7 linked regions of the Oryctolagus cuniculus genome follow. The main gene of each other region encodes a partner of the protein of the gene in region 7 in a complex. Links are inferred from orthologs where the notes say so. Each region holds a gene or a part of one and is shown on either strand. Other genes may lie near its edges. The genes, in order: CDK8, MED24, MED31, MED16, MED8, MED20 and MED13.

The links.
Region 1: the proteins of MED13 (region 7) and CDK8 are in contact, whole or in part, in a cryo-EM structure (PDB 8TQC), measured with the Homo sapiens proteins. The link is inferred for Oryctolagus cuniculus from reciprocal best matches to the Homo sapiens genes MED13 and CDK8. Residues at the interface, in NP_005112.2 of Homo sapiens: Thr1616, Met1617, Asp1618, Arg1619, Lys1621, Val1622, Gly1623, Ile1624, Pro1625, Thr1626, Asp1627, Gly1628, Asp1629, Ser1630, Val1732, Lys1733, Thr1734, Leu1735, Thr1736, Gly1737, Phe1738; in NP_001251.1 of Homo sapiens: Leu9, Glu12, Arg13, Arg71, Lys74, His75, Pro76, Leu81, Gln82, Lys83, Val84, Tyr133, Asp137, His140, Tyr141, Met330, Gln331, Phe335, Leu336, Leu340, Pro341, Thr342, Ser343, Asp344.
Region 2: MED13 (region 7) and MED24 share a complex: the UniProt entries of both Homo sapiens proteins name them as parts of the mediator complex. The link is inferred for Oryctolagus cuniculus from reciprocal best matches to the Homo sapiens genes MED13 and MED24.
Region 3: MED13 (region 7) and MED31 share a complex: the UniProt entries of both Homo sapiens proteins name them as parts of the mediator complex. The link is inferred for Oryctolagus cuniculus from reciprocal best matches to the Homo sapiens genes MED13 and MED31.
Region 4: MED13 (region 7) and MED16 share a complex: the UniProt entries of both Homo sapiens proteins name them as parts of the mediator complex. The link is inferred for Oryctolagus cuniculus from reciprocal best matches to the Homo sapiens genes MED13 and MED16.
Region 5: MED13 (region 7) and MED8 share a complex: the UniProt entries of both Homo sapiens proteins name them as parts of the mediator complex. The link is inferred for Oryctolagus cuniculus from reciprocal best matches to the Homo sapiens genes MED13 and MED8.
Region 6: MED13 (region 7) and MED20 share a complex: the UniProt entries of both Homo sapiens proteins name them as parts of the mediator complex. The link is inferred for Oryctolagus cuniculus from reciprocal best matches to the Homo sapiens genes MED13 and MED20.

What each region holds. Positions count from the first base shown.
Region 1 is NC_091440.1:96,689,384-96,692,883, reverse strand, and holds part of CDK8 (cyclin-dependent kinase 8), read right to left. Parts: intron 2,531-3,500; coding exon 2,461-2,530; intron 1,721-2,460; coding exon 1,648-1,720; intron 1-1,647.
Region 2 is NC_091448.1:22,376,912-22,381,090, reverse strand, and holds the start of MED24 (mediator of RNA polymerase II transcription subunit 24), read right to left. Parts: upstream 2,801-4,179; 5' UTR 2,217-2,800; intron 2,201-2,216; exon of another isoform or gene 2,127-2,200; intron 1,733-2,126; 5' UTR 1,676-1,732; coding exon 1,546-1,675; intron 1,459-1,545; coding exon 1,376-1,458; intron 1-1,375. UniProt on the Homo sapiens protein: Component of the Mediator complex, a coactivator involved in the regulated transcription of nearly all RNA polymerase II-dependent genes.
Region 3 is NC_091448.1:49,926,731-49,930,767, reverse strand, and holds the start of MED31 (mediator of RNA polymerase II transcription subunit 31), read right to left. Parts: upstream 2,801-4,037; 5' UTR 2,572-2,800; coding exon 2,544-2,571; intron 1,543-2,543; coding exon 1,465-1,542; intron 1,250-1,464; coding exon 1,153-1,249; intron 1-1,152. UniProt on the Homo sapiens protein: Component of the Mediator complex, a coactivator involved in the regulated transcription of nearly all RNA polymerase II-dependent genes.
Region 4 is NC_091447.1:58,476,258-58,480,297, reverse strand, and holds the start of MED16 (mediator of RNA polymerase II transcription subunit 16), read left to right. Parts: upstream 1-1,240; 5' UTR 1,241-1,397; intron 1,398-2,672; 5' UTR 2,673-2,715; coding exon 2,716-2,848; intron 2,849-3,575; coding exon 3,576-3,683; intron 3,684-4,040. UniProt on the Homo sapiens protein: Component of the Mediator complex, a coactivator involved in the regulated transcription of nearly all RNA polymerase II-dependent genes.
Region 5 is NC_091438.1:129,634,736-129,638,748, reverse strand, and holds the start of MED8 (mediator of RNA polymerase II transcription subunit 8), read right to left. Parts: upstream 2,801-4,013; 5' UTR 2,693-2,800; coding exon 2,687-2,692; intron 1,438-2,686; exon of another isoform or gene 1,419-1,437; coding exon 1,300-1,418; intron 1-1,299. Other genes in the region: KICSTOR complex protein SZT2, read left to right, coding at 2,886-2,912. UniProt on the Homo sapiens protein: Component of the Mediator complex, a coactivator involved in the regulated transcription of nearly all RNA polymerase II-dependent genes.
Region 6 is NC_091436.1:127,988,546-127,992,657, reverse strand, and holds the start of MED20 (mediator of RNA polymerase II transcription subunit 20), read right to left. Parts: upstream 2,801-4,112; 5' UTR 2,661-2,800; coding exon 2,647-2,660; intron 262-2,646; coding exon 107-261; intron 1-106. Other genes in the region: BYSL (bystin), read left to right, coding at 3,183-3,450. UniProt on the Homo sapiens protein: Component of the Mediator complex, a coactivator involved in the regulated transcription of nearly all RNA polymerase II-dependent genes.
Region 7 is NC_091448.1:35,500,617-35,504,116, reverse strand, and holds part of MED13 (mediator of RNA polymerase II transcription subunit 13), read right to left. Parts: intron 2,860-3,500; coding exon 2,403-2,859; intron 585-2,402; coding exon 365-584; intron 1-364. UniProt on the Homo sapiens protein: Component of the Mediator complex, a coactivator involved in the regulated transcription of nearly all RNA polymerase II-dependent genes.

The sequences.
Region 1 (3,500 bases), on a different chromosome or scaffold from region 7:
ATTTAAAGTACCCAATAATTTTAATGGATTGCAATAGAGTTTCAGATGGGACCATTCAAGATTATCAACAGTTAAGATAGGTCATGCCAGGATTAATAAGCAAAACAGTTAAAGCAATAAGGTATACCTCTAGATTTTCAGTGGTGATGGTTTTGAGTCATTTCAGACTTTAATGAGTAGTAGGGAATTAGGGAAAAGTCAGAGAAATTCCTCTATGTCATGACTTTTAGTCTACCACCACTATCATCATTTTGTTAGAATTAAAAAGTCTGATTTTGAAGGATCTAACTTAGCCTTCCAATTGTCTTGTCTTAAGTACATCAGAATAAATGATTTGAATAGTACAATGTGTGGTAATATGACAGTTTAAGCATTGCTTTTCAAATTACTAATAAGGTATGAAATATATGATATAAAATATGACATGATAAAATAAGTTCTAAAATCAGAAGTAGAGGAAGACAATAAAACAGAAGCAGAAATACAAGAAATGCTTGCCAAGCGACCTGGTTGCAATAAAGGAAACATTTCATGTTTTCAAGATAAAGGAATTTCCATTTAAAAATACTTGAGGGGCAGGCATTTTGCCTAGCATTCAGATTCCCACACCCCATATCAGAACACCTAGGTTCAATGCCTGCCTCCAGACCCTGACCTTAGTTGCCAGCTAATGCAGGCCCTAGGAAGCAGCAGCAAGGGTTCCAGTAACTGGGTCTCTGCCACCCACATGGGAGACTACGTTGAGTTTCCAGCTCCTGGCTCCAGCCCAGCCCAGTCCCCGGCTGTTGCAGGCATTTGGGGGAGTGAATTAATGGATAGGAGTTCTCTCTTGAAATCTCTACACTGTCTGCCCCCTCCCACATGCCCCTACAAAAAACAAAACAAAACAAAACAAAACAAAAAAAAAACAGGAAAAAGGATTAAAAAAATTTCAAGCCAAGCAAAATATAACTTGCTTCTACAAATTCCCCTCATTATGTTATAAAAGTTTAAAAACATAAAAGTGAAAAACATCTTGGTGACAAAATTTTACTGCAAACAAACTGAATTTGTCAATCACTGAATATGATCTCATCACAAATTACTTTGCTAGTGTTCAGATTCATACACATTCTAGGTCAAACTACCTTTCCATTACACATAGAGAAATACTGCATCTCTCACACTCTTCCAGAAAAAGCATGTAATACATATCATCCCTGAGGCATATCTAATGCACAGGTTTATAAAAGTATCACGGAGTTAAAAATTCTGTAAACATTCTTTCAAGAGTTGAAATACCAAATAGTTTGCAGAAATTATTTCAGAAGGTGGAACTGTTTTTTTTTATACATCCCTGAGATTTTTGAAATTTAAAAATAACAGATGAAAAACACTAAATACAACTTTTAGTGCTCTTCACAGAATTGTCATAATTACTACCTTTAGAAAATCTAATATGACAAAACATTAGTCTGTCAGGTCATAATACAGGTTTGGAAAAGCAAATTTTTTTTGATGTCTTTACTAACACAAGATCTTTGCATTTATGATTAAAGTACTCCAGGAGTACTAATCAACCATATAAACTGACCCAAAAAAGTCTCAGGTGGTGGTAGTCAATTGGGGAAAAAATGAATTTCATTAGCATTGTTATTTAAAGCTTACCAAGTGGAATGCTTTACTATCTGGTTTAACTTTATGCTTTTCCATATACTTGATAAGGCTGCAGTTGGTATACCTGAAAGAGAAATACTATGAAATATCTGTATTAGATGTGAGGTTAATTTTACATTGGCTCAAGTCCTTCCAAAGAGAATTACTTTGATCATAACTGATCAGCATAAAAAAAGCATTAAATCAATTTTATAACTCATTCAATACCCATACTAGTCACTTTTTGAATGGATGCCAATGATTAAATGCAAGATAATTCCATGAATAATATATACTGAGTAGCTGTTTTCACATGAATCACATCTTAATTATTTTAGACAACATCTGGGTCAAAAGTTTAACTCAGCCTTACCAGTAACTTTAAAATACCTTTGCTGTAGGTTTACAAACCAAGCTGTCCCAACCATTGGCCTTGCTTTGTAAATAACTGAAATAATAATTCTTCTGTATTAAAACTTGCTTAAAATGACTATACAACCTAGGTGAGTAACTGCTAAGGTTTATTTTAGTTCCTTACTTCTTTAGCTGTGATATTTTTCACTAATATCTAGCTTCCAGAAAGTAGTAAATATCGGAAAGAAAAGAACTGACTTCTCCCTCTGTATCTAAATTGGCTCTATTAGTCATTTTTTCATATAATTTTTAATCATCTTATGAAGACTGCTATGAAAAATATTTACTAGAGTAAATAAATTAAGTTACTTATTGAAGTAATGTTATGTTGAGTATGTTGAGTGTTCTATCTTAAACTGAGTATTCTGGAGAAGCAAAAACCAACAAATGTCTATTTTCTTTCCAACTTACGTATTTCTTCTGAAATCTTTCATTAATGTTGAATGTTCGGGCATCTTTTTTATATCTTCCCAATCTTTATCTGTGAAACACATTGATAAATTTTTATGTTGCCTAGGTTCCTATTCTTTAGAATTTCAATATAGATTACCTCCATTTTCACTATATTTCCAGTTCTTTTAGCCTCTCTGGAAGCTCAGAGTTCAAATAAATGTTCAGCTACAATAAACATCTTGAACTGTAAATACAATTCCTCATCCGCTCAAATAGCTTTTATATCTGTTCATCTTTTAAATTTTTAAATTGTTTGCTTTCCATATGATTTATTGTTAAGTTGCCTCAATTACTATAACTAGGAAGGAATATTATAAGTATTTCTATTTATTATTAAAAAGTTCTATTTCTATTAGTATAATAATTTATTTTTTCCTTTTCCACCACACTTCTTGGCAAATCAGCAATTTCCTTATTTACATCAGCAATCAATATAGCCAGTAATAACTGTTTGCAGTAGAACTGGGTGTAGGATGGAAATAGTAATATTAATAATCGGCTGGTATCTTGGTTTTTTTTATTAACATTACCCGACACTAAATAAAAACTCCTAGCTACTAAATAATTTTTGGGGTGTTAAGTAAAACAAAAGTTGTTAAATAAATTTTAAGAACAAAATGTTTCAGCCAGGTTTGCTGGCCTTAAGAGTTGCTCCAACAACTCATGTCAGATCACCTGCTTTCTCCATCAATACCAAAGACTTTTAATGAAAGCCCACTAGGCAAGCAGCACTGTGACAAGCACCTTTCACTTTTAATTGGCCTTTCATGGTTTGCTTTTCTTTGAAGTCACTGGTAAAAATATTTGCTAACTGTCCTCCATAGACATCACATAATGTAAACTAAATGTCTACTTAAATTCCTAAATGGAATTTCCTCCTTACTTTTTCCTTGCCCCGATTTCTCTATTTTGTCAATTCCTCAAAGTAGAAATCTTGAGATTATCCTTCCCAGTGACACAAAGCTGTGTCCTCCATTCTCCTTCCGTGCTCTTTCTGC
Region 2 (4,179 bases), about 13 Mb from region 7:
AGACTGGATTAGATGTCCCTTCCATGTTCTCTCACAGTACCTATACTCTATTCTTTAAAAATAAATTAGAAGACTTATTATACTCATTTGAAACACAGAGGGAGAGGCAGAAGGAGAAAGATCCTCCATCTTCTTGCTCACTCTTCAGATGACAACAAGGGGGCCTGGAACTCTATCTGGGTCTCCCATCTGGGTGACTTGAGCCACCTTTTTTTTTTTTTTTTTTTTTTTTTGACAGGCAGAGTGGACAGTGAGAGAGAGAGACAGAGAGAAAGGTCTTCCTTTTGCCGTTGGTTCACCCTCCAATGGCCGCCGTGGCCGGCGCGCTGGGGCCAGCGCACCGCGCTGATCCGATGGCAGGAGCCAGGAGCCAGGTGCTTTTCCTGGTCTCTCATGGGGTGCAGGGCCCAAGCACTTGGGCCATCCTCCCCTGCACTCCTGGGCCACAGCAGAGAGCTGGCCTGGAAGAGGGGCAACCGGGACAGAATCCGGCGCCCCAACCAGGACTAGAACCCGGTGTGCTGGCGCCGCTAGGCGGAGGATCAGCCTAGTGAGCCGCGGCGCCAGCCTGACTTGAGCCATCTTGCACTGCTTCCTCAGATACGTTATTGGAAGGACTTCAACCTGTGCTCGATATGGGATGCCAAGCTAACAGGCAGCAGCTTAACCTGCTGACCCAACAGGGAGCCCCCGTACTCTGTTCTAACCCTTATCATAAACCCATCAAGTGACTGCTGCTTTACAAGTCTGTATGAATGTCACCCATTAAATTCCTGTGTACCAGGAACAGGTCGTGTTTACAGCTTTTTCCTCAGAGCCTAGCACTGTCTGGTACTAAAAGCACTGACAGAATAAGCAAATGAAATACCCATCACAACATATGAAGTATTCTTATTTTTACAAGAAAACTGAGCTCAAAGAAGCAATCTGTTCAAACAGTTCATGTAGAAAGTGTAAGTTCAGGGGCTGGCACCATGGAATAGCAGGTAAAGCCACTGCATGCAGTGCCGGCATCCCATGTGGGCACCGGTTTGTGTCTGGCTGCTCCACTTCCACTCCAGCTTCCTACTAATGAGCCTAAGGAAACGATAAAAGACGGCCCAAGTCCTTGGACCCCTGCACCCAAGTGGAGACCCGGAAGAAGCTCCTGGCTCCTGGCTTCTGATCAGCACAGCTCTGGCTGTTGCAGCCACTGAGGAGTGAACCAGCGGATGGAAGACCTCTCTCTCTTTCTCTCTCCCTCCCTCTCTCTTCCTCTCTGTAACTCTGCCTTTCAAATAAACAAATAAATCTTTAAAAAAAAAAAAACTAAGTTGACAACTGCACTCCAGGTCATTCACCCCCAAAATCATTCCTTGGGGAAGAAGTGGTTTACCTGGGAACTAATGGCATACTTCAGGTAGGACAGGATGAGCGGATTGGGGGAAGGTCCAATCATGGCCTGCTCCAGGAGTGCTTCTGTAAAAGGAACAACAAAGTAAGGCTGGGTGGTTACGACTTCCCTGGGCTCATCCCTCCCACCCTTCCTTCCACTTCACTTGAGACCTGCCAGGTTGAGAATGTCCCAGGTGGCTCCTTTGGGAAAGAATTTCTTCATGTTGATTGCCCACTGGTAGTCACTCCATCGTTCCTTCCAGGCTTGCAAAATGGCTTGCTTCAGGTTGACCACCTTCATGCCTTCACTCTGAGGCGGCGGCCCGTAGAGAACAGCTTTGAGGTTGCAGAAATGGAGCTAAAGAGGAGATAAGTTTCAGGGAAAGAGAACAGCCGCGGGCAGAGCTCCACAGAATGGAGACGGGAACCGATTGAAGCGAGGAGCAGGAAATAAAAAAGGGGAAGGGACAAGGTGGAGATCCTGTCAGACCCGTCCCTCCTAATCCATCCCTTCTTGGACTGGGGCACGAGGAAGAGAGTGTCAAACGGGTAATACAAACACTAAAGAGGGTAGCAAAGGGTTAAGCCAGTTCCAATGGCCAATTACTCCCCGAGCCCTGGCGGCGTCCCTCGGCCTCTACCACCCCACGTTCAGCTTTCTCCCCCACCCCCACTTCCACCATCTTCCCCAACCCTGAAATTATAATTCCCTATATCCTTTTCATCTTCCACCTCCCTAAATTTAAACCTACCGGACAGTCGAGCTCTAGACCCTAGGGAGCGCCATTTTGGCACTTATCAAAGAGCCCAATTCTTATTGGCTGAGGATAACAAATACGAACCAGTAGAGATACGGCAAGTCCCGCCACGGTGCCTTCTGGGAGTTGTAGTTCCTTGTACGGAAGTCGTATTTGCCATGGAAAGGAAGCTAAGGGACTACTTGTCAGGCCGCATTATTTATCTCCTTTTAAGAAGGATATCCAGGCGTTGAGGCACTACAGCGTCTCAGAGGCACGGGGTGTGTGGGGGGCTTGAAAAGCTGCTTGCAACTGGGCGTCGCCCAATGACGTCACTGCCGACCAGGCCCTTCCATCCTATTCCGACACCCTTTCCTTACCCTCTAGTTAGTAGGCAGGGTGTGGCGTTTCTCTTCCCTGGTCTTTTATCCCCCCCCCCCCCCCCACTACTGAGCTCTTGGAGCTGTGAGACTTTTCATTTCCACACCTGCATCCCACAGGCGACACTGAGGCCGGTTAGTGGCACACACATCACCTCACAGCCGCATCTGAGCGTCCTCACATACTCTCCTGGCCCATTCAGTAGGAAATAAAGAGGAAACCGAAGTTAGCGTGTTTAAGAAACAAGGAATATCCAAGAAACTGCTCGACATGGCCTAAGAGGACACGACAAAAGGCATTGTGTTGAGGATGGGATCCTGAAAGAGAAAAAAAAAAAAAAAACACATTAGGCAAAAAACTAAAGAAATATGAGCAAAGCAGACTTCAGTTAGTAACAATGTATTGATGTTGATTCATTAGTTGTTAACAAATGTATCATACTAATGCCAAGATGTTAATAAAAGGAGAAACTGGGTGCAGAGCTAGAAATTGGCCAGCCTGAGCTGGGCCAGGCTGCAGACAGGAACCAGGAACCAGGAACTCAATCCTGGTCCCCCACGTGGGTGGCAGGGGCCCGTCTGCTGCTGCCATCCCAGGGACATTAAGAGGAAGCTGGAGCCGAAGCAGAGTAGCCAGAACTCAGTACAGCACGCTGCTGTGGGATGCCAGCATCACAAGTGGACAGCTTAACCCACTGTGCCACCATATCACCCCAACCCTGTTTTATTGGGCAGGCATGACGCAGCGGGTTAAGCTGCCTTTTGGGACACCTGAATTCCACATTGGAGTGCCTGGTTTGAATCCTGACTACTCTGCTTCTGATCCAGCTCCCTGCCAGTGTGCCTTGGAGGCAATAGAAGATGGCTGAAGTACTTGGGCCCCTGCCACCCACGTGGGAGACCTAGGTGGAGTTCCTGGCTCGTAGCTTTGGCCTGGAGCCCTGGCTGTTGCAGTTATCTGGGGAGTGAACCAGCAGATGGAAGATCTCTCTTTGTCATACTGCCTTTCTGTTAAACAAATAAGTTCTTCAAAAAATAAAATAAAATACCAAAAGCAATCCTGTTTATCCCAAGAATCACATTGTAGATTATAATGTCCAGGGCTTTAGGCGTTAAATCTTCTCTCCCTCCTGTGAGAAGCCAGAAAGCAAACATCCCCCACCTCTGGCTCTGAGATCTAAGCCTCCCTATACAGCCTCACCCCTGCCCAGTCATAAGGACAGGTCACCCCAGACATTTATAGTCAGAGACAAGAGGGAATGGGGGGGCCCTCGGCCAGTGTCCTGCCACCCCTCCTTTTAGCCCCCAACCCCGTATCCTGAGGAACCAGATGTGCCAGTCCACAAGTCCCAGTCCCGTCCCTCTCCCAACAGCCATCCCTCAGCCACCTTCTGAATCTGGATGAGCAGCCCTCTCAGGCTCTGTCGGGGCAGAGAATAACAGGATCCTGGGCATCCGGAGCAAGGGCCAAGCAGGGAAACGAGGACTCCTCTTCCAAAGGGAACAGTGTGGCTGGAGAAGGGCCAGATCCCATCTCCCTCCCCTGTACACACCCTCACCCCACTCCATTATCCTCCCTTTGTGCCTGCCCAAGTGACACCACTGGGGAATAGTGTTTATACAAACAGCTGCCAAATATGTGTAGCTGGAGCTTCCGATGCAGGAGGGAGGGAGAACCCAGACTCCTC
Region 3 (4,037 bases), about 14 Mb from region 7:
GCTCAAGTATTTGAGTCCCTGCCACCATATGAGAGATGCAAGCTGAGTTCCTGATTCCCAGCTTCTGGCCTGGCGCAGCCATGGCTGCTGTGGGTATTTGGGGAGTGAACCAGCAGATGGGCGACTTCTTTCTCTCCCTCTGTCTGCCTTCCAAATAAAATAATTTTTCAAAAAATTTGAAAAGCTTCACCACTGCTTTCCAACCACCTGGCTAATACTAAGCAAAGTAGTAAGTGCAGCCTTCCGCATTGAAAGGGAATAGGTTTCTGGTCATAATATGCCCCTTGCAAATGTAATTGGCCTTCAAGTCAAAGTGTCTCTGGAACAACTTGAATGGCAAACACACATACACGTAGTTCAAAAAGTTTGTGGAAAAACCTGAATTAAAAGCTTATTTGGATATAAAAAGCTTGTAGTCTATACTTGGTTATTTCATATTACACAATTTTTCAAGAACTTCTGGAAATCCCTTACACATGGACTCCAAAAGTTTTTTGCACCAATACAAACTCGTCTTTTGGATCCATTTTCCATTTACTTTTTGAAGGACCGGCATGTGTACGGAAACAGTTGTGAGTGTGCAGTGTTTTTTAGTTATTGAATGCAAAGCATTTGGGCACAAAGATCGCTGCTGGAAGACACAGTGACATCCTCCACATCTTCCTCACAGGTACTTCTGTGTGATCTTTTATTATCAGTCAATGGCTATGTTGCTGCATGTGAGGACCAGAGTCCTTCAGACCAGAAACCCAGAGAAATGGGGAGACTGGTAGAGAGGAGGTCAAGAAGACTGGGCCAGATGCGGCCGGGCCGCAGACTTCACTGCCAGGAAGGGAGGGCCCCCCAGGTCTAAGGAACAGACAGCATGTTCTAAGCTACAGTTCCCAGGGACCACATCGGCTTCTGGGTAGAAAATCGCGTTGCTTTATTGGCTTTGGGTGAGGTAGTGAGGAAAGAGCAGAAAACAGAGCCAACAGTGAGTGATTTCTGCAGGAATCCAAATTAAGAGGTAGGCAGTGACAACCGAACGCGCAGAACGTGCAGATTCAACATACATTTTTACCAGTGTGAAACTAAGAAGTATTTACGTATCCACGTTTTGGGTTTTAGTAAAACATACATACACCGAGGATTACAAAAAATTAAACTTACTTTAGATACTTGGCATATTCTGGTTCTTTCCAGTACAGCAAGTACTTAAGATAATTAACAAACGCTTTGTCTTTGAAGTAACCTCTTTGAGCAAGAACTGAAAGGCATAAAAAAAAAAACAAAACCTAGGTCAGACGGATGCTTGGACTACCACCAGCCCACAAGTCCTAGTTTGCTCAGTTACAGCTACAGAATTGCTTTAAGTGCAATTCTATTCAATTGAGAATATATAAAAGTAGATACTATTAGGAAATGCAACTCTTGTCAAAAAATCATTAATAGCTATTCAATTTAATTAGGTGAACAACTTACAATTAAGGTAATTTGGGTTGGCTAAACACTGTACAAATTCCAACTCTAACTGAAACCGAAGTCGATTTCCAGCATCATCTAGGAGAGAAGACAGCAAAAATCATCCAAGACAAAGGTCGCTAAATACAACACCGATGGGTCGAAAGGAAACAGCAGCCAGGAAACCTGCGTAATGCTGAGCTACACTTCTGGGAGGCATAATTCCTTAGGAACCTAAGAAAAGGAGAACTCTGATTAAGGCAGCTAGAAACCCCTCTAACGTTGAAGAGAAGTCATCAGAGACAAGGGGAACACAGATGCGGCAGGAGACCTCCCTCGGTGGGTCACTGGAGCCATCTCAGCAGTGAGTGACCGGGTATGGGGTGACAGTCTACCTCCCTGTATTTTATTAATACACTGTAGCTACTGTCGATGGCGGTGAGGAGCTCCGAGTGCGAGCTAGGAGACTGCGGAGCGCCGGAAGACCCCGAATGGCAGCATCAGTGGCAGGATAACGCAAGTTGGTCCAGGGCGCCCCAAACTCATGCAAGCTCCCGCGGAAGCAGACCCAAGTGCTGTCTGGTGACACGACTGTCACTTTCAGCCCCTGTTTATGCTCCTGGTGGTCTTCCTACTTTTGACTGGCTCTATATTACGGTTCGTGGTGAAATAAGCCGTTATTATAGACTGTATCAAATTTATGCCTTGGCAACAAAAAAAATGAAAAGTAGGGGAGGGAACGCGAGTGGGGGGAGGAGGAGAGAGGGAAGTATGGGTCTCCTGGAACTGTACCTATGCAATCTGTTCTCTTTATACTAGTTTTTGTTTTTTTTTTAAAGAAAAGATTCCAGTGCTGTCCCTCAGTCTCACCCACGCTGGGACGAAGGTGGGGTCGCTGAGTGAACAGCAAGCGGGGAGAAAACATGTGCGAAGCCACCAAACTCTGAAAAAGGCAAAGCTGCCGGCACCTTCCCAGATGCTCCAAGAGCCCTCTCGCCTCCCGGGTCCCACTCCAAGCCCCTTCCGTTAGGCCTGAAGGAGGCCCCGGGCAGGCAGGAGAAGGGGTCCGGGCGGAGCGCACGGCTCAGAGCGCGACTCACCTGTCTCCATGGCGACGGCGGCGGCCATAACAAGGAACGACGCGAACTCTCACCAGCTCGGCAGAGACTCTGCCCAGTCTGGCTGGGGAAGTTCCGGAAGCCTCAGCACCCCGCTTCCGGCCCCGGGGCACTGTGGGATACGGGGGCGGGCCCAGCCGCGCTGGGAGGACAGCGGTTCCGCCCATCGCTGCTGGCTCCGCCCGCTCGGGCTCCTGAGCCGGGCGCTGCGGCCCGGGGAGCGCCGTATTTGGAGGTGTTTCACGTCAGCGTGTAGTGGCATTGCCGCCTAGGAGGCAGGTCGCTACTGTGACGTCATTTCTCACCTCGTGACGTAGCGTAGAGGTGTGCTGAGCGGTCCCCTCAACACCTATAGAATGGCCTCGGCCCTTGGGGGAAAGCCGTCCTCACCCCAGTGTGGACACCTCGCCTTCCAGGAAGCGGCGCCCTCGTGCCCTCCCGAGTGCTCAGGGCCTCGTCAAAGCGGCTGGAGGCGAGGCTGCCTACTGTGTCCAGCCGGGTCCCCCAGTCGCCTTTGGCTTCCTGGAGGCAGCCCACATGTCGGTGTGAGAAACAGCCCAGCCGCGGTTCCTGGGTTCCTGCGCGAGCCGCGCCCTGGGCCTCCCCACGCGTGACAAAGCCCGCACGCGGGGCTGACGGGCAAAGAGGCGGAGAGTGGTGGTATAGAGGGATGGACGGGGAAGGCCTTGCTGGTTAGGCCACAGTGGAGCTGAGACCTGTGTGGTGACACCGAGCGCCCCACCCCCACCCGGGGGTCTCAGCGGAGTGCACCCTAGGCCGGAGGAAGAGAAGTGCGAAGGGTGTGTGGGAGCAAGCTTGCAACGTTCCCCGAGAGAAGAAGGGAGAGCTGGGAGCTTCGTGTGTGAGAGGCAGAGAGGGGACGGCAACAGGCAGGACCAGTTTCTAGAGGGCCTTTGAGTCACCACGGGAACTCAGGTTCTAGTCTAACAGGAACACGCTGCATAGTTTTCGGCACAGGACTGACATGATGCAACCGCATTTTTAAAATACCTTCTGCCTTCCGTGTGGGCTGCAGAACAGTTGTTCTCATCCTGGAGGGGGGGGGGAGGATTTTGTCCCCCAGGGGATACTTGGCGATGTTTAAAGACGTTTGTGTTAGGTACAAGGAGTGCTGCTGGCAAGTCGTGGGTAGAGGCCAGGGATCCCAGCACCAAAACCACAGAATCACGGGGCCTAACGTGTCAGTGGTGCCCAGTTGGAGACGCGCTGCAGCTGGGAGAGGAGAGGCCTGGGAGAGGCTCCAGAGGAGGGTGGGAGGCCGTGCCCTCCCCTGGACAGTGTGTGTGTGTGTGTGGGGGGGGGGTGTCTGTTGCTTTTTGACCCTGCCTTGCAGTCAGTGATTTACCCAGCAGGACAAAGGGGTCTTCCAGCAGGCCAGCGATGGCCCAATTGTGTCTACTACTGGGAGCAGAACATCTGCCATTTCCAGTCCATACTCGGGCTCCTACATGTAAA
Region 4 (4,040 bases), on a different chromosome or scaffold from region 7:
GTCTGAAAGTTGTATATTTATTATCATTTTACATGAAAGGCACAGTTACACGGGGCGGGGCGGGGGGATCTTCATCTAAGAACAGTGACGGCCAGGGCTGGCCCAGGCTGAAGCCAGGAGCCGGGAGCGCCACCCAGGTCTCCCCCGTGCGTGCAGGGGCCCTGGCACCTCTCCGTCACTGCCGCCTTCCCGGGCCGTTAGCAGGGAGCTGGGCTGGAAGGGGAGCAGCCGGGGTGCCCGGGGTGGCCACTCAGACCTCCAGGGACCGTCCGTGAAGCCCCCTGCCCAGTTCTCAGCCACGGCAGAGGGCCTGCTGGACCCAGGCGTAGCCCAGCAGCTGAGCCCCAGGGTAAAGCTCCTGACCTCGCTCCCTGCTATGCACACCTGGGAGGCGGCAGTGCCCGCTCGAGTGCTGGGGGCCCTGCACCCACGTGGGGAACCCGGGGCTCCTGCTTGGCCCAGCCCCGGAGTGAACCAGCCGATGGGAGATCTGTCCCCCTCTCCCCCTCTCCCCCTCCCCACGGCCCCTGCCTATCAAATAGGTAAGGGAAACAAAGTCACAGCGCTGCTGCGGGCAGAGCTGCGGCGACCGTGGCCCCGCCGGGCCCACCTGTGAGCCGTGGCGCTGCACCGCGGGAGCTCCGTGTCCCGGGGTGCGTCTGCTATGCTGTGGGTTCAGTGCCCTTTGGTCGCGGGCCGCCTTCTCACCTGCTCCGGTGTGTGCCAGAGGGCAGGAGCAGGGCGTGGGCTGCAGAGCGGACGGCGTAGACCCCCGGGACCCCGCGCTCACCGCCCAGTCACGCACACCCTGCGTGGGCATTCACGCGCGACGGCTGCGGCTCCACGCGGACCGGGCCGGCTCCTCCTGCACGCTGTTCGTGGAAAGGGGTAGCAAAATATGGAACGCTTCACGAATTTGCGTGTCATCCTTGCGCAGGGGCCATGCTAATCTTCTCTGTATCGTTCCAATTTTAGTATATGTGCTGCCGAAGCGAGCACGAACGACCGCTATCCTGGACAAGTATTTAAGGTGCCGAGAAATCTTGTCTTTACGATAAGGGTGAATTTTCTTGCGACAACTTTGTGGGGCACTCGTGCTCTTTACTGTGTTAGGACAGTATATGTTCTAATGAGGTGTAGTTTTTAATCGACGTTAGGGAAATATTTCTGTTTTATATGAGACACACGAACGGAGGCTGCCGGGAACCTAATAGGACTATGCAAATAAGCCCGGAAGCTGGGCGGAGCCGGAGCCGCCGCCGTCCCATGAGCCTGCGGGAAGCGGCGGCGCGGCTTGGGCGACTCGTTGGTCCGGGAAGATGGCGGCGCCGGAGCCGCGGCGTTAGGGCGAGTGCGGGCCGCAGCCGTGCCCTCGGCTCCACGCTCGGGCCAGCCAGGTGAGCGCGGGGCTCGTGGGAGGGCCCGGCGGCGGCGGCGGCGGCCAGCCGGCCTCGGGACGACGTCCGCGACCCCGGGGACAGCGGCGCGGGGAAGGCAGGGGCGGGGCCTCCGGGGTCAGGGGGCGGGCCCGAGCGCAAAGGCTTCTGGGCGCGCGGCCCGGCGCGACGTGGGGGAGCCCGGGCGCTGCGCGGAAATTGAGGCGAAGTCCGCGGCCGAAGCGGGGCGGCGGGACCGGGGGCGGAGCCTGAGGCGAGCTGGGGGCGGGGCTGCCTGGCTCGGGGGCGGGGCTGCCTGGCTCGGGGGCGGGGCCCGCAGACGGGGGGGGGGTCCCTGGGGTTGGGCCTGAGACCCTGGGGCTGGATGTCGGGACGGTCGCGGCGTGGGCTCGCGGGGTGCCGGGGCGGAGCTGAGGGGTCGGGGTGGGCGTGGGCTCGCGGGGTGCCTGGGGCGGAGCTGAGGGGTCGGGGTGGGCGTGGGCTCGCGGGGTGCCCGGGGCGGAGCTGAGGGGTCGGGGTGGGCGTGGGCTCGCGGGGTGCCTGGGGCGGAGCTGGGGGGTCGGGGTGGGGTGGGCGTGGGCTCGCGGGGTGCCTGGGGCGGAGCTGGGGGGTCGGGGTGGGGTGGGCTCGCGGGGTGCCTGGGGCGGAGCTGGGGGGTTGGGGTGGGCGTGGGCTCGCGGGGTGCCTGGGGCGGAGCTGGGGGGTCGGGGTGGGGTGGGCGTGGGCTCGCGGGGTGCCTGGGGCGGAGCTGGGGGGTCGGGGTGGGGTGGGCTCGCGGGGTGCCGGGGCGTGGGCTCGCGGGGTGCCGGGGCGGAGCTGAGGGGTCGGGGTGGGGTGGGCTCGCGGGTGCCTGGGGCGGAGCTGGGGGGTCGGGGTGGGGTGGGCTCGCGGGTGCCTGGGGCGGAGCTGGGGGGTCGGGGTGGGGTGGGCTAGGGTGGGCGTGGGCTCCCGGGGTGCCTGGGGCGGAGGGGTGGGCCCACGTCGATGGAGCCCCTTCTCTTTGGAGCCGCCAGGGGCGCCGGCGCTCGCCGCTGTGGTCACTCTGGGCCCTCCGCAGGCCCGGGCCCAGCCTGGGGGACCGCGCGGCCCTGGGCGCCCCCTGCCGCCCCATCCTCGCTCCCCGGACCAAGCACATCTGCGGGGTCCTGTGGAGACCTGGGGGTGCTGGCCCGCGCCCCAGCCGCCCGGCCCCTCCTGGAGTCCCCGTGTGGACGCCAGCGTCGCGGAGGACGGGCGTGGCCTCGTGTGTTTAAGCCCCCCTATGCCCCCCCCCAGCACTGGGCCGTGTCAGTGACGAGCCCCCCGGGCCTGCGGCGGGATGGACCTGGCCTACGTCTGTGAGTGGGAGAAATGGCCCAAGACCACGCACTGCCCCTCGGTGCCCCTGGCCTGCGCCTGGTCCTGCCGCAACCTCATCGCCTTCACCACAGACGTGCGGAACGAGGACCAGGGTGCGCCCCCCACTGCCCTCTCTCCCCGCATGTCCCCCACCTGTCCCCGCCCCCCGTGTCCCCGTCCTGCTCCCACCTGGCCCCGCCCCCCATGACCCCACCTGGCCCCGCCCCCCGTGTCCCCGCCCGGCCCCCACCTGTCCCCGCCCCCCGTGTCCCCGCCCGGCCCCCACCTGTCCCCGCCCCCGTGTCCCCGCCCGGCCCCCACCTGGCCCCGCCCCCCGTGTCCCCGTCCTGCCCCACCTGGCCCCGCCCCCCGTGTCCCCGTCCTGCCCCACCTGGCCCCGCCCCCCGTGTCCCCCATCCTGCCCCACCTGGCCCCGCCCCCCGTGTCCCCCATCCTGCCCCACCTGGCCCCGCCCCCCGTGTCCCCGCCCGGCTCCGCCCCTCACCTCCTCTGGAACTTGGGGCGTCCAGAGCCCCGGCCTCCCCGACGCTGGGGTCCGGCTCCACGTGGGGCTGGGGTCTTGCTGGCCCAGGCCCCGTCCCGGCCCCTGCTCTGCGTCAGTGGCCGTGCCGTCTGCCCTGCTGCCGGGTGACGCGTGCTCGGGGACCGCGGGCGCTGCTGCCCGGGCGTCGGCCCCTCTCACTCCATCTTCCCATCGCCCGGTCACTGGCCGCTCTGCCCGCCAGGGGGCAGCCTGTCCCTCACCATCGCCCTGGGGGTCCTCCACGGAGCCGCCTGGGGGTCACGGGACCCCTCGGGACTGTGTCCTTGTGCCCCCAGACCTGACCCGCACCATCCACATCCTGGACACGGAGCACCCGTGGGACGTGCACTCCATCAGCTCCGGCCACACCGAGGCCATCACCTGCCTGGAGTGGGACCAGTCAGGTGAGGGCGGGGGCGGGGCCTGGCTGCCCGAGGGGCGGAGTTACGGAGGGAGGGGGAGAGGGAGGGAGGGAGGGGGAGAGGGAGACAGGGAGGGGGGGGGTGGAGAGCGAGGGGGGGTGGTCTCCCGTCCCTGATCCACTCTGGCCAGGGCCAGACCAGTCCAGTCCAGAGCCGGGAGCCAGGCGCTTCCCCGGGGCCCCCACAGGGTGGCGCCCTCCCCAGCCTCTGTCCCAGAGCCCCCGCCGGGCCTCTGCTGCCCGCGCCAGAGCCCAGAGCCGGCGCTGCGGCGGGCGCCGGTCCCGCCTGGCCGGGTCCCCGGGCCTCTGCCCTGGCCCCCACGTCCCGCGACGTTGTCCC
Region 5 (4,013 bases), on a different chromosome or scaffold from region 7:
GACAAGTCCTCAGATTAGGAAAACTGAGACTGACCCCCAAAAGACTCATCCCCATCACGAGCCTCGGCAGGACCCAGACCTGGAACAGGAATGCGGGGTTAGGAAAGAGGGACACGCTTTCAGCTCCTGACGGAGGCAGAAAAAGGCAGTTCATTGTTTGAATGGGGTGAGAAACACTGGAAAACAGGAACCATGGCTATTCTATGACAAAAAAAATCAGAAACTGGGTGAAAGCCTCCTTTCTGCCGGGAAACAGGAGCCATACTTCAGCAGTAGGCTGGATCTAAAAGACAGCCACATTAGTGGCAAGAGATCCAGCATGGACTGAGATATAGTGGGAAGACCCACTGAGAGAGAACTCCTGACCAGAGATGAAAAGGGTAAGAATCAAAAGCGGCCAGCGCCACGGCTCACTAGGCTAATCCTCCACCTAGCGGTGCTGGCACACCGGGTTCTATCCCGGTCGGGGCACCGGATTCTGTCCCGGTTGCCCCTCTTCCAGGCTAACTCTCTGCTGTGGCCAGGGAGTGCAGTGGAGGATGGCCCAAGTGCTTGGGCCCTGCACCCCATGGGAGACCAGGAGAAGCAGCTGGCTCCTGCCATCGGATCAGCGTGGTGCGCCGGCCGCAGCGCACCAGCCGTGGCAGCCACTGGAGGGTGAACCAACGGCAAAAGGAAGACCTTTCTCTCTGTCTCTCTCTCTCACTATCCACTCTGCCTGTCAAAAAAAAAAAAAAAAAAAGAATCAAAAGCTAGAAAGAACGTGGCTGGGCCGGTGCCTTGGCTCACTTGGTTAATCCTCCACCTGCGGTGCCAGCATCCCATATGGGCACCAGGTTCTAGTCCCGGTTGCTCCTCTTCCGGTCCAGCTCTCTGCTGTGGCCCAGGAGGGCAGTGGAGGATGGCCCAAGTGCTTGGGCCCCTGCACCCGCAAGGGAGACCAGGAGAAGCACCTGGCTCCTAGCTTCGGATCAGCGCAGCGCCGGCTGTAGTGGCTGTTTGGGGAGTGAAGCAACGGAAGGAAGACCTTTCTGTCTCTCTCTGTCTATATCTCTACCTTTCAAATAAATAAAAATAAAATTAAAAAAAAAAAAGAAAGAAAGAAAGAACGTGGCTTGGGAAACTGGGCCGCTCTCTACTTCCTTGCCACGGAGGCCCTCAGCCAAACTTCACTTACTAAATGTTGGGAAACCAAGCTCTTTCCAAATTACCCGACATCTGCAAACTGATAAATGGTTACATCATCAGAGATGAACTACTCGTCAGGAGCCCTCCCCAGTTTGCCCTGGCAACCCTTACCAGGTTAGCCTGTCATACTCGTTCTCCAGCTTGTAAATGAAACTTCCCAGTGAGTTCTTCAGATCAGCCACTTGACTCAGCAGTGCATCTAATGACGCCTCCAACTGCTTCTCCTCCCTCTGCACCAACAGAGATGGGCTGGTTACCCAGAGAGATATGAGCATGACACCTTTAGAAGAAGGCTGAAAAGCGTCGGAGAGAGTATGCCAACCGCAGTTGGCTAACACCGGATCTCACTGGAATGACAGCCAGGTTATTTTCTATCTTTGGTATTTGGGTTACAGACAGCACCAACCCTTAGACCTTTCACCTGACCTTAAGTCCTCCTACCAACTGATTCTCGCTCTCACACCTCCAAATCCAGGCCTGCTTTTCCTCTGTATTGCACGTGCCCTACTCTCCCTTGTTGAGAAACTCCTGCCAGACATAATGCCTGGGATTCATCATCCTATGCACATTTCTGTGGCACGTGTGCCCTAGCTTCCTTCGTCCTAGAATCTGCCCTGTTCTTGTCAACAGCACAGCCCCTGCGAAATCTGCCTGGACATGAAGCTTTCTCTGAACCCTAGTTCTGCACGCCCCTGCCCCTCGCTCCTCATTCGTGCTTAGTGGGTGATGTTTCAACTTTCTCCTTTATTTCTGTGCCAATATTCCTGTGCCTCTTTCACAAGCTCAGCTGACCCAGAAGGACTTACTGAAACACTGCCCCATCCAAGAAGCAAAGCGACAAGTGAAAAGCAAAACCACCCACCCAGCTCACATGACAAGCAATGTCAAGTAGTGGGGGTCTGCAGGCATTCCCTTCCCACGGTGTGGGGGGGTATCTTCCGTTTTACTTCATTTCCTCCGTCTTAATAACTCTCAGGCACAGACTGGGAAAAATGATGCCAACCCCACACTGCGCCTGACAGGAGCATCATCTTGGGTTTCACCCAAGGTTTCAGTTGATAACAACTTAGCTTCTGGCCAGCTCGGCCCACAATTCCTTCACCCTTCGGGCTTCTCTCCGATTGCAGATTCGCCGTTACGTCTGCATCCAACAGCCTAGGCTGAGGCTTGAGCCAATTCATGTCTCTCTCGGGCCGTCTCCCTTGGATTGTATCTCGGCTTTCGCAAACTACATCCTGATGCTTTCCCAGCCCCAAACAAGCGGCGGCTGCCTCCGCCCTCCCGACTTTGCTAGTCTCTCCCCTGTCAGCGGACTCCGCCCCCACGTAGCATCCGCGCCGCTTCTCCACTTGGCCTCGTCTCCCCTCTGCCCTGGCCCCGCGTCCTCTTGCCTCCGCCCTCTCCTCTTCGGTCCAACTCCTAACTCTCCGCAGCCAGCCCACTCTCGCTGCGTTACCCAAAGACAGCTAGCTGCCACTAGGCCCACCCCGCTTCTCACCTGCATTGCGGCAGCCGTGGCAGCCGCAACCACTTCCTCTTCCGGTTTCCCAGTTTCTGAGGGTTTTGTCCACCAATCAAGGAAATCGGGGCTTGGCCCGCCCACCGACTTCCGGTTCCGGCCCGGTACTGAGGTAGCCAGGTCAGGGGTCACAGTGGATCTGCCTCACTGGCCCGGGCCGGCGCGGGAAGGCTGTGTGATGGCCTCGGAGCGCCCGGAGCCTGAGGTGAGGGGCGGGCGGGCGCAGAGCTGGGCCCTGAGACCCGAGCGGGAGGAGCGGGCGGTGCGGGCAGGCGCGACCTCGGCCTCCTGGCCGGCCGACGGCCGGGCCGCGTAGCGTCGGCAGGGACCCTTGCAGCCCCGCATCCCCGCAGTCCGTTCTTTCCTCCGGAGGCTGGAGGAGAAATGCTTCGCTCGCTCTGTTGTGCTTACTGAAATCTCTTCCGCGTCGCCGACTTGACCTAGTGACAGTGGTGTTAATAAACCCTGTGATTTGGTTCCTGTCGCGGTTTCAGTGCGCTGGACGGCAGCAGCCGGTGCGTGTCTTCAGACACGGGCGTGCAGTAAACAGCACGAGTTAATTTAGTTTTAGCACTCATGATGGGGAAAGCAGCTTTGGTTTTATTGGGGGGGGGGGGGGGCTTGGCTCGGAGTGAGACCCAGTTCGGATTTTAGCGCTGCTATTTAGCTCTCTCTGAAGCCTGGGGCAAGTCTTAACTTCCTGGATTCTGTTTCTTTGTTGTTAGTCTGTTGTGAGAATCACGTGTGTGAAGCCAGAAAAGGCTTAAGCTCTCTCTGTCAGATGCCAAGGACCATGCAAGCAACTTTACATACATTGTGTCATTCACGTTTGCACAATATCCATTCTCATTTTCAGAAAAGAAAACTGAAAAGTAAGATAGGTCAAGTGCTGTACATACGCCTGAGAGTAGCAGATTTTTGGAGTTAGAAAATCTGAGCATAAAATCCCAGATTTGGGTAGAGATGCCCAGCACTGTTGGAGAACATACCAACAGATGGGAACAGTGAGGAATGTGTGTAAGAATGCAAATAGGCCGGCGCCGCGGCTCACTAGGCGAGTCCTCCGCCTGCGGCGCTTGCACTCCAGGTTCTAGTCCCAGTTGGGGCGCTGGATTCTGTCCCGGTTGCTCCTCTTCCAGTCCAGCTCTCTGCTGTGGCTCGGGAAGGCAGTGGAGGATGGCCCAAGTGCTTGGGCCCTGCACCCGCCTGGGAGACCAGGAGAAAGCACCTGGCTCCTGGCTTCCGATTGGTGCAGCGCCGGCCGTAGCAGGCATTTGGGGGGTGAACCAACGGAAGGAAGACCTTT
Region 6 (4,112 bases), on a different chromosome or scaffold from region 7:
ACATCTTGCCATGTGTTCTGGAATACACAAAAGCATAAGGAACTCTCATTAATGCCCGTGAATTCCAAGGCACATTCCAGCCGTCCTACATACCCATCTCACTGACCTTGGCTTCCAAGGGTAGAGGCAGCCGTGTGATAAGTCTCACAATCCACACAAAACGTTCCTTGCTTCTCTGCCCCAAGCATCTCCAATTTTCGGGTGAGGAGCTCCACGGTCTGCTGGACACTCTTGCCCTCGGCCACAGGCATCTGGGACACACTGGGAAGGAGAGAACCACAGTGTCAGTACCCAGACACACACATACTCACTTAGCCATTCTATCCACAGAACTGTGGCTCAGCCAAGCCAGAAGCTACGACCCCACCCCTCCCTCACGTTGTAAAGATGCGGAAATAGAAGCCGCCAGCCAGCCAGCGCCGCGGCTCACTAGGCTAATCCTCCACCTAGTGGCACCGGCACACTGGGTTCTAGTCCCAGTCGGGGAGCTGGATTCTGTCCCGGTTGCCCCTCTTCCAGGCCAGCTCTCTGCTGTGGCCAGGGAGTGCAGTGGAGGATGGCCCAAGTGCTTGGGCCCTGCACCCGCATGGGAGACCAGGAGAAGCACCTGGCTCCTGCCATCGGATCAGCGCGGTGCGCCGGCTGCCGGCTGCGGCGGCCATTGGAGGGTGAACCAACAGCAAAGGAAGACCTTTCCCTCTCTCTGTCTCTCTCTCTCACTGTCCACTCTGGCTGTCAAAAAAGAAAAAGAAAGATTTTGGTGCCAAAACATTGCATAGTTTTTCATAATACATACTTTCTGTGAACTTTCTGAAGTACTTTCAGAGAATCCCTGAAGCTACAAGGGACAGAGGTCCTAGGATTTTGGAAAAGTTGATAAGGGCGCCCCCAGGAATGGCCGGCAACAAAGCCAGGAACTTCATCAGGTCTCCCACGTGGGTGCAGGGGCCCAAGGTCTTGGGCCATCTTCTACTGCTTTCCCAGGCCATTACAGAGAGCTGGATTGGAAGTGGAGCAGCCAGGACTTGAACCAGTGCCCATAAGGGATGCCGGCACTGCAGGCAGTAACTTAATCTGCTACACACAGTCCCAACCCCTGTGCTGCAACTTTTCCACCTCCATCCCGCACCAGCACCCTCACTCTGCAGGGCTTGGGAGGGTTGTGGTAGGGGAAACAAGAGTGCAAGCCCCAGAAACCCCTGGCTACTGGGAGAAATTGTGTTCCCTCTACCCCCAACTATTTTTAAAAGAGAAGCCTAGGGGGCCAGTGCTGTGGTGCAGTAGGTTAATCCTCCATTTGTGGTGCCGGTATCCCATATGGGTGCCGGTTCGAGTCTTGGCTCCTCCTCTTCCAATCCAGCTCTCTGCTATGGCCTGGGAAAGCAACAGAAGATGGCCCAAGCGCTTCGGATTGGCGCAGCTCCAGCCATTGGGGCCATCTGGGGAGTGAACGAGCAGATGGAAGACCTTTCTGTCTCTCCCTCTCACTGTCTGTAACTCTACCTCTCAAATCTTTCAAAAAAGAGAAAAAAAAGAGAAGCCTATAACTCCTGGCTTCAGATATCCTGGCCTCCAGGCCTCTCTGATGAGATGCTCACAACCAAGACTTAAAAAAAAAAAAAAAAAGAAGAAGAAGAAAAAAGGTGCAGAGACCCAGCACCTTGGAACTAAGGTCTCCAAGATCCCTGGGTTCATACCCTTCCCCTCCACCCCATCCTCTTCCATCTGGGTTTGAGAACATGTTCAGAGATTTAAAAGTCCATTGGGGGCCAGTGCTGTGGCGTGGAGGGTAAAGCAGCTGCTTGTAGAGCTGGCATCCCATGTGGGTGCCGATTTGAGAGCCGGCTGCTCCACTTCCGATCCAGCTCTCTGTCATGGCCTGGGAAAGCAGTAGAAGATGGCCCAGGTGCTTGGGCCCCTGCACCCCCATGGGAGACCTGGAAGAAGCTACAGGCTCCTGATCGGCCCAGCTCCGGCTATTGCAGCCATTTGGGGAGAGAACCAGCAGATGGAAGCTCTCTCTCTGCCCCTGCCTTTCTTTAACTCTGCCTTTCAAATAAATAAATCTTTTTTTTTTTTAAGTGCACTGAAACTGAATCAACCGTATAAACGTAGTAGGAGGCAGGTCATGAGGAAGTAAAGTGTCTGGAAACCTGATCTTCTAATTCCCAGTAGTTTCCATTTTGATCCTGTAGACCCGAATGAGAACCAGATACAGGCTGATTATTGGGTGGCTACAGGTAGGGGGAGGCGAACACACAAACACCGCCTCGTTGCCTATCTCCTATCAGCTTTAACCCTACCTGCGGGTGGGTTCTAGTCTGAAAAGCCCTGTTTCCGACCTCGAAGTCCCACTTTCTGCACTACTAGGATTTCAAGGGTAGCAAGACGTACCAAGAAAAAGAGAAGAGGGTACACAACCCATGCATAAGGTTCCTGAGATAAAACCTTTTCCTTGCTTCCTTCCAGGAGCAATGGGGCCCATTAGGGCCCGAGACTCACGGCCCTTAGAGTGCCCACATCCACGCAGCCCGAGGGCATTTTGCTCAGCTCCCGGAGAACGGCGGACTTCAGTCCCCGACCCTCCAGGTTTCAAGGGACCTTCACGACCCAAGTCCCGCCCCATAAAACCCTTTGTGATCCTACCAGGTCACTCCCATAGCGTCAGGCCTGGAAAGCGGCACGACCACACAGCCGAAACAGCGCTCTCCCGAAGCCCACAAGAACTAAAAACTACCGCAGGCTCGGGTCGCGGGAGGGGCTCCGGAAGTACGTAAAAACAGAGCGCCGGTTAGACGCACCAGCAGCGACTCTGGGTGACGCCTCCAGTGAGGTCATCGGCCCGATTCCCAGCCCCTCCCCTGGCTTGCAGTTCCGGAAGTTTCCGTTTGGTTGGCCACCCTGGTCCTAGATCCAGAAAGCTAGGAAAGCGTGGCCCGGGCTGCCACCATTTAGAGACGTCAACGTCAAAGGCAATGCATTTGTTCCGGGCTCCGGCTCCAGGACTCGGGAGTTCCCTGCGGGAGTGCAGTGGTGCTGGCTGCTTTTCTGGCCTCCGAACGCGTAGGGGCGCTGTGAGCGCGTGGCCTCTCGGCACAGACCTGGGCGTTCATTGCCGAGCGCACATCCTGGGCTGTCGCCGTACCCACGTGTGAGTTTGCCGGGCCGCATTATCGAGAAAAATGCCGAAATTCAAAGCGGCCCGTGGGGCTGGGGCTCAGGAAAAACACGCGCCCCTGGCCGAGCAGATCCTGGCTGGGAACGCGGTGCGGTCAAGTGCCCGGGAAAAGCGGCGGGGCCGCGGAACCGGGGAAGAGGAGGAAGAGTATGTGGGGCCCCGGCTGAGCCGGCGGATTTTGCAGCAAGCACGGCAGCAACAGGAGGAGCTGGAAACCGAGCACGGCTCTGGGGACGGGCCCGCCAAGCCTCGGGAGCGCGCCACGCGGCTGGGTGAGCGTCCGCGGGGAAGGCAGTAGTTGGGTTGGGGGGTGGACGGCCCACAGGTGTCCGGCAGGGGAGTACCTTGGATTCAAAACCGGGTTGCACGTTGCTCTCTACCGAGAGCAGGGCAGGTGGAAGACCGAACCCTGCAGGCCCGCTCCCTGTTTTTAGTGCTCCTTTCGCCGCGTCCCGCAAGTTAGGCCAATAGGAAGTGATGGCTCAGGCCACCAAGTTCTCCTAGCATTTGTCCAACGGTTTTGTAAATATGGGATGCTCGCTACCGGCTTTGCACGATGCTGGGAGTTTTGATGGATTGCGTGCAGAAATAAACAAGATATAGCTCGGGACCTTACAGTCTAAACCAAGAGAGAGACAATTAGAACAGTAAATTCCATGGGAAAGAAAGTCTCGTTTCTCTGGAAACGATAGCATTCGTGTAGGGGTCAGAGTTGCCCAGCCTGGAAGCTGAGACCTGAAACCGAATGTTCATAACAGAAAAAGCAGTATTGTTTAGGGGCCAAGTGGAGGGAGAGATGATTGAAAAATGTTGACTGTTTTCTCATAGGGGAGAAGCCTTGACCTCTGAGTTGTTTAACCGACTTCTCAGAGCTTATCTTATTTGTAGAAAAGCAGTATTTGACGCAATTGAACCCTGCTCTTCTGGCTACAGT
Region 7 (3,500 bases):
TAGAACTCCAGTTTATACAGGTCCATGCTACGTTTACCTGCTTAGGCTTATGAATTTAAACACTGGATTAAAAGGTTAACACAGGACCAGTATTTAACATACTATATACTATATGCAATTTTTACTTCTCATTATTATTGTGGTATGATTGTAAAATTCATGTTTTACAACATATCATATCATCAAGAATTTTATATTTTACATCAGGTATGTTATTACAACATAGCTAACATCTATATCACTTAAAGTTAAATCAATAATAGAACTTGGCTTTCAGAACACCAATTTGAAAACAGAAAAATAGTATCTTTCAAACAGCAAACTGTTTTACAAATATTTAACTCACAATATTTATCAATCTTACCTGTACAGAAACAGTACTCTTAATATGTGGAGGAAGAGTTTGGACCATTTCCAAGAAGCATCGAAGTAGTCCCAAAGTCCACACATTAGAAGAGTTAGTGCCTTCATCTTTATTTTCATAGGTAAAAGGATCGATTATATAAACAACAATTGCAGGTGGATAGGTAATTGCATGTGAATCACCATCTGTGGGGATTCCCACTTTATCTCGATCCATCGTGCTAAAATATGAAGTAGAAGTAAGACAAAAACTTGTACTGTATTGCTGGGAGTGCATTCAAAAGCAGGCTCTTGATCCCCCATCCCTTTTTTTGTTTTTGGTGGGAAGTATCAGTGAACCATACATACATACATACGTACTAGCATAAGAAGAAAATAGAAATAAAATTCTTAAAACTGCAGTATATCTGAAATGAGAGTTTAGTGCATAAAGGATAAAACTGGTCCTCTGTCTAAGACCTATCTCAGTAGCAGCCCCAAATCACAAAATTGGCTAAATCAAGATCAGAAAGAAACCAAGTTCTACAGGTAACGCTACCACCTGGAGCGCCAGCATCCTATATGGGTGCCAGGTGAGTCCCAGATGCTGCACTTCCTCTCCAGTTCCCTACTGGTGACCTGGGAAGACAGCAGAAGATGGCCCAACCGCTTAGGCCCCTGCCACCCATGTAGGAGACCTGGATAAAGCTCCTGGCTCCCAGCTTCAGCCTGGCTCATCCCTGACCGTTATGGCCATCCAGGGAGTAAATCAATGGATGGGAGATCTATCTTTCCCTCTCTCTAACTCTTTCAAATAAATCTTCAAAAAAAAAAAAAAAAAGGGGGGGGGGAAGAGAAGAAAGAAAGAAAGGAAGGAAGAAAGAAAGAAAGAAAACCAGATTCCCAGATCTATTCAATGTTCTACTACATTTCATACTTCGTAATTTCAATGGTAAACCAGTTACATTATTTGATGGCTAATTTTTTTTAAACTTCGAATCTGTTTAGATGTTTAAGATGGCTGGATTAATATAGGGAATAGTCTGCTTTTTTATCGATGTATATGAGTATAACTCTGCGAACAACTGTATCCTGGATAGATGACAGGTTTAACAATGCTCAGCCTAACCAAATTTATAAACTAAAAGGGAAGTTCACTCAATACTTTCATCATAAAAGGACTGAGAGGGGCCGGTGTTGTAGCGTCAAGGTTAAATTGCCACATGTGATGCCAGTATCCCATATGAGCACTGGTTTGAGTCCGTTGCTCTACTTCTGATCCAGCTTCCTGGTGATATGCCTGGAAATGCAGCAAAAGATGACTCAAGTACTTGGGCTCCTACCATGAGGAAGACCAAGATGGAGTTCAGGCTCCTGGCTTCAGCGTGGCTAAGCCCTGGACATTGCAGCCATACGGGGCGTGAACAAGCAGACAGAGGAGCTCTGTCTCCCCTTCTAACTCTGCCTTTCAAATAAACAAATCAATCTTTTTAAAAAAAGGGAATGAGAAATGTCATCACTATGGTCATTATAAAAAAAACTTGGAGGGGCCAGGGCTTTGGTGTAGTGGGTCAAGCTGCCGCCTCCAGTGCCAGCCTCCCATATGGGCCAGTTCAAGTCCCAGCTCCTCCACTTCCAATCCAGCTCTCTGCTATGGTCTGGGAAAGCAGTAGAAGACGGCCCAAATTCTTGGGCCCCTGCACCCACATGGGTGAGCCAGAAGTGTTCCTGGCTCCTAGCTTTGGATTGGCGCAGCTCTGGCCGTTGTAGCCAGTTGGGGAGTAAACCAGCAGATGGACGACCTCCCTCTCTCTCTCTCTCTCTCTCTCTCTCTCTCTCTGCCTCTCCTTCTCTCTCTGTGTAACTCTGACTTACAAATAAATAAACCTTTAAAAAAAGGAAAACAAAACTTGGAAGCATTACATAAAGCACAATGTATGCATATTATATCACATTACACCCCATTTAGCAGATACTGAAAATGCTCATAACTCATATTTAGAAAAAATTAAGAATCATAGTTTTTATATTTGTGCAAAAATCAGTGTTTTTAAAGATACCTTTCAGACACATCAGGATGTGGCTGAGTAGGAAGCGAAGATGACTCTCCAGAAATCCCAGCTGTCTGTAGAGTTGATGACTGCTGCCCCCCTAGCTGGCCATTCTGAACTGCACTTGCTTGTGCAGACATGGACCCTGTAGCACTACTGCTCATACTGCCAAAGGGTGGAAATGAAGGTAGTTTATTTGATGATGCTCCACTATTCAAACTGGAGGATGAAGAAGATGAAGTTGTGGTCAAAGTCGAATTAGCTGTTGCAACCGAAGTAGGCAGTGCAACCCCTGAAGTCACAGTCATAGTGCTGCTTGCTGCAGATGCTAGGGTGGCTGATGGAGTATTAGTATTTCCAGTACTTGCCATCTGAGATGGTGTAATCAAAGACTGACTTGGAGGGGTAACTAAATTTGGCTGGGAAAGCAGAGAGCTGTCCAGTGGCTGCGAAGCAAGATAAGGACCTAAAGATAAAAACAGGAAGGGTATTTAAATTCTTTATTTCACTGGTTAGTTCTTTTTCAAATTCTTTATGAATAAAATAATAATCTAATTTATACTTTCTTGGTAATTACTCTCCCTAAACTGCCTGCTAACAATTTAGTATCAACTAGCTTATTTTCACCTAGAAATTGAAAACGGAATTGTAAAAGTAAACCAGCTTTTTCATGCAAATTAAATAAATGATTACCATGAAATAAAATAAAATTACATTTTCTAGATGCAACTAATTAAATGCAATAAATATTATGTAGCAAATTCCCATCAAATCATTAAAAAGGCTCCTAAACCACAAGTTGAAAAAATATTTTCTACACCAATAGCTAATTAAAACCCAAAATGGTAAAATGGTAGAATGTTATCATAAGGTTCAAATTATTGGAATGCCAAATGCCTCTGAATTAATTTGGTTCTGCATCTCTGTGGATTAAGTCTAAAGGACGCTCAATGATATTATAAGCAAGTCTAAAGTACTTGGTCATTTTCTTAGCTACACACACACAAGAAAACTATGTCTTGGTGTTACAGAGGTTAGCTACAAATTATTTTATTTCTAAAACTATTAGCAAATCAAGAATTCTATAACTTAAAACATTAGATCCTA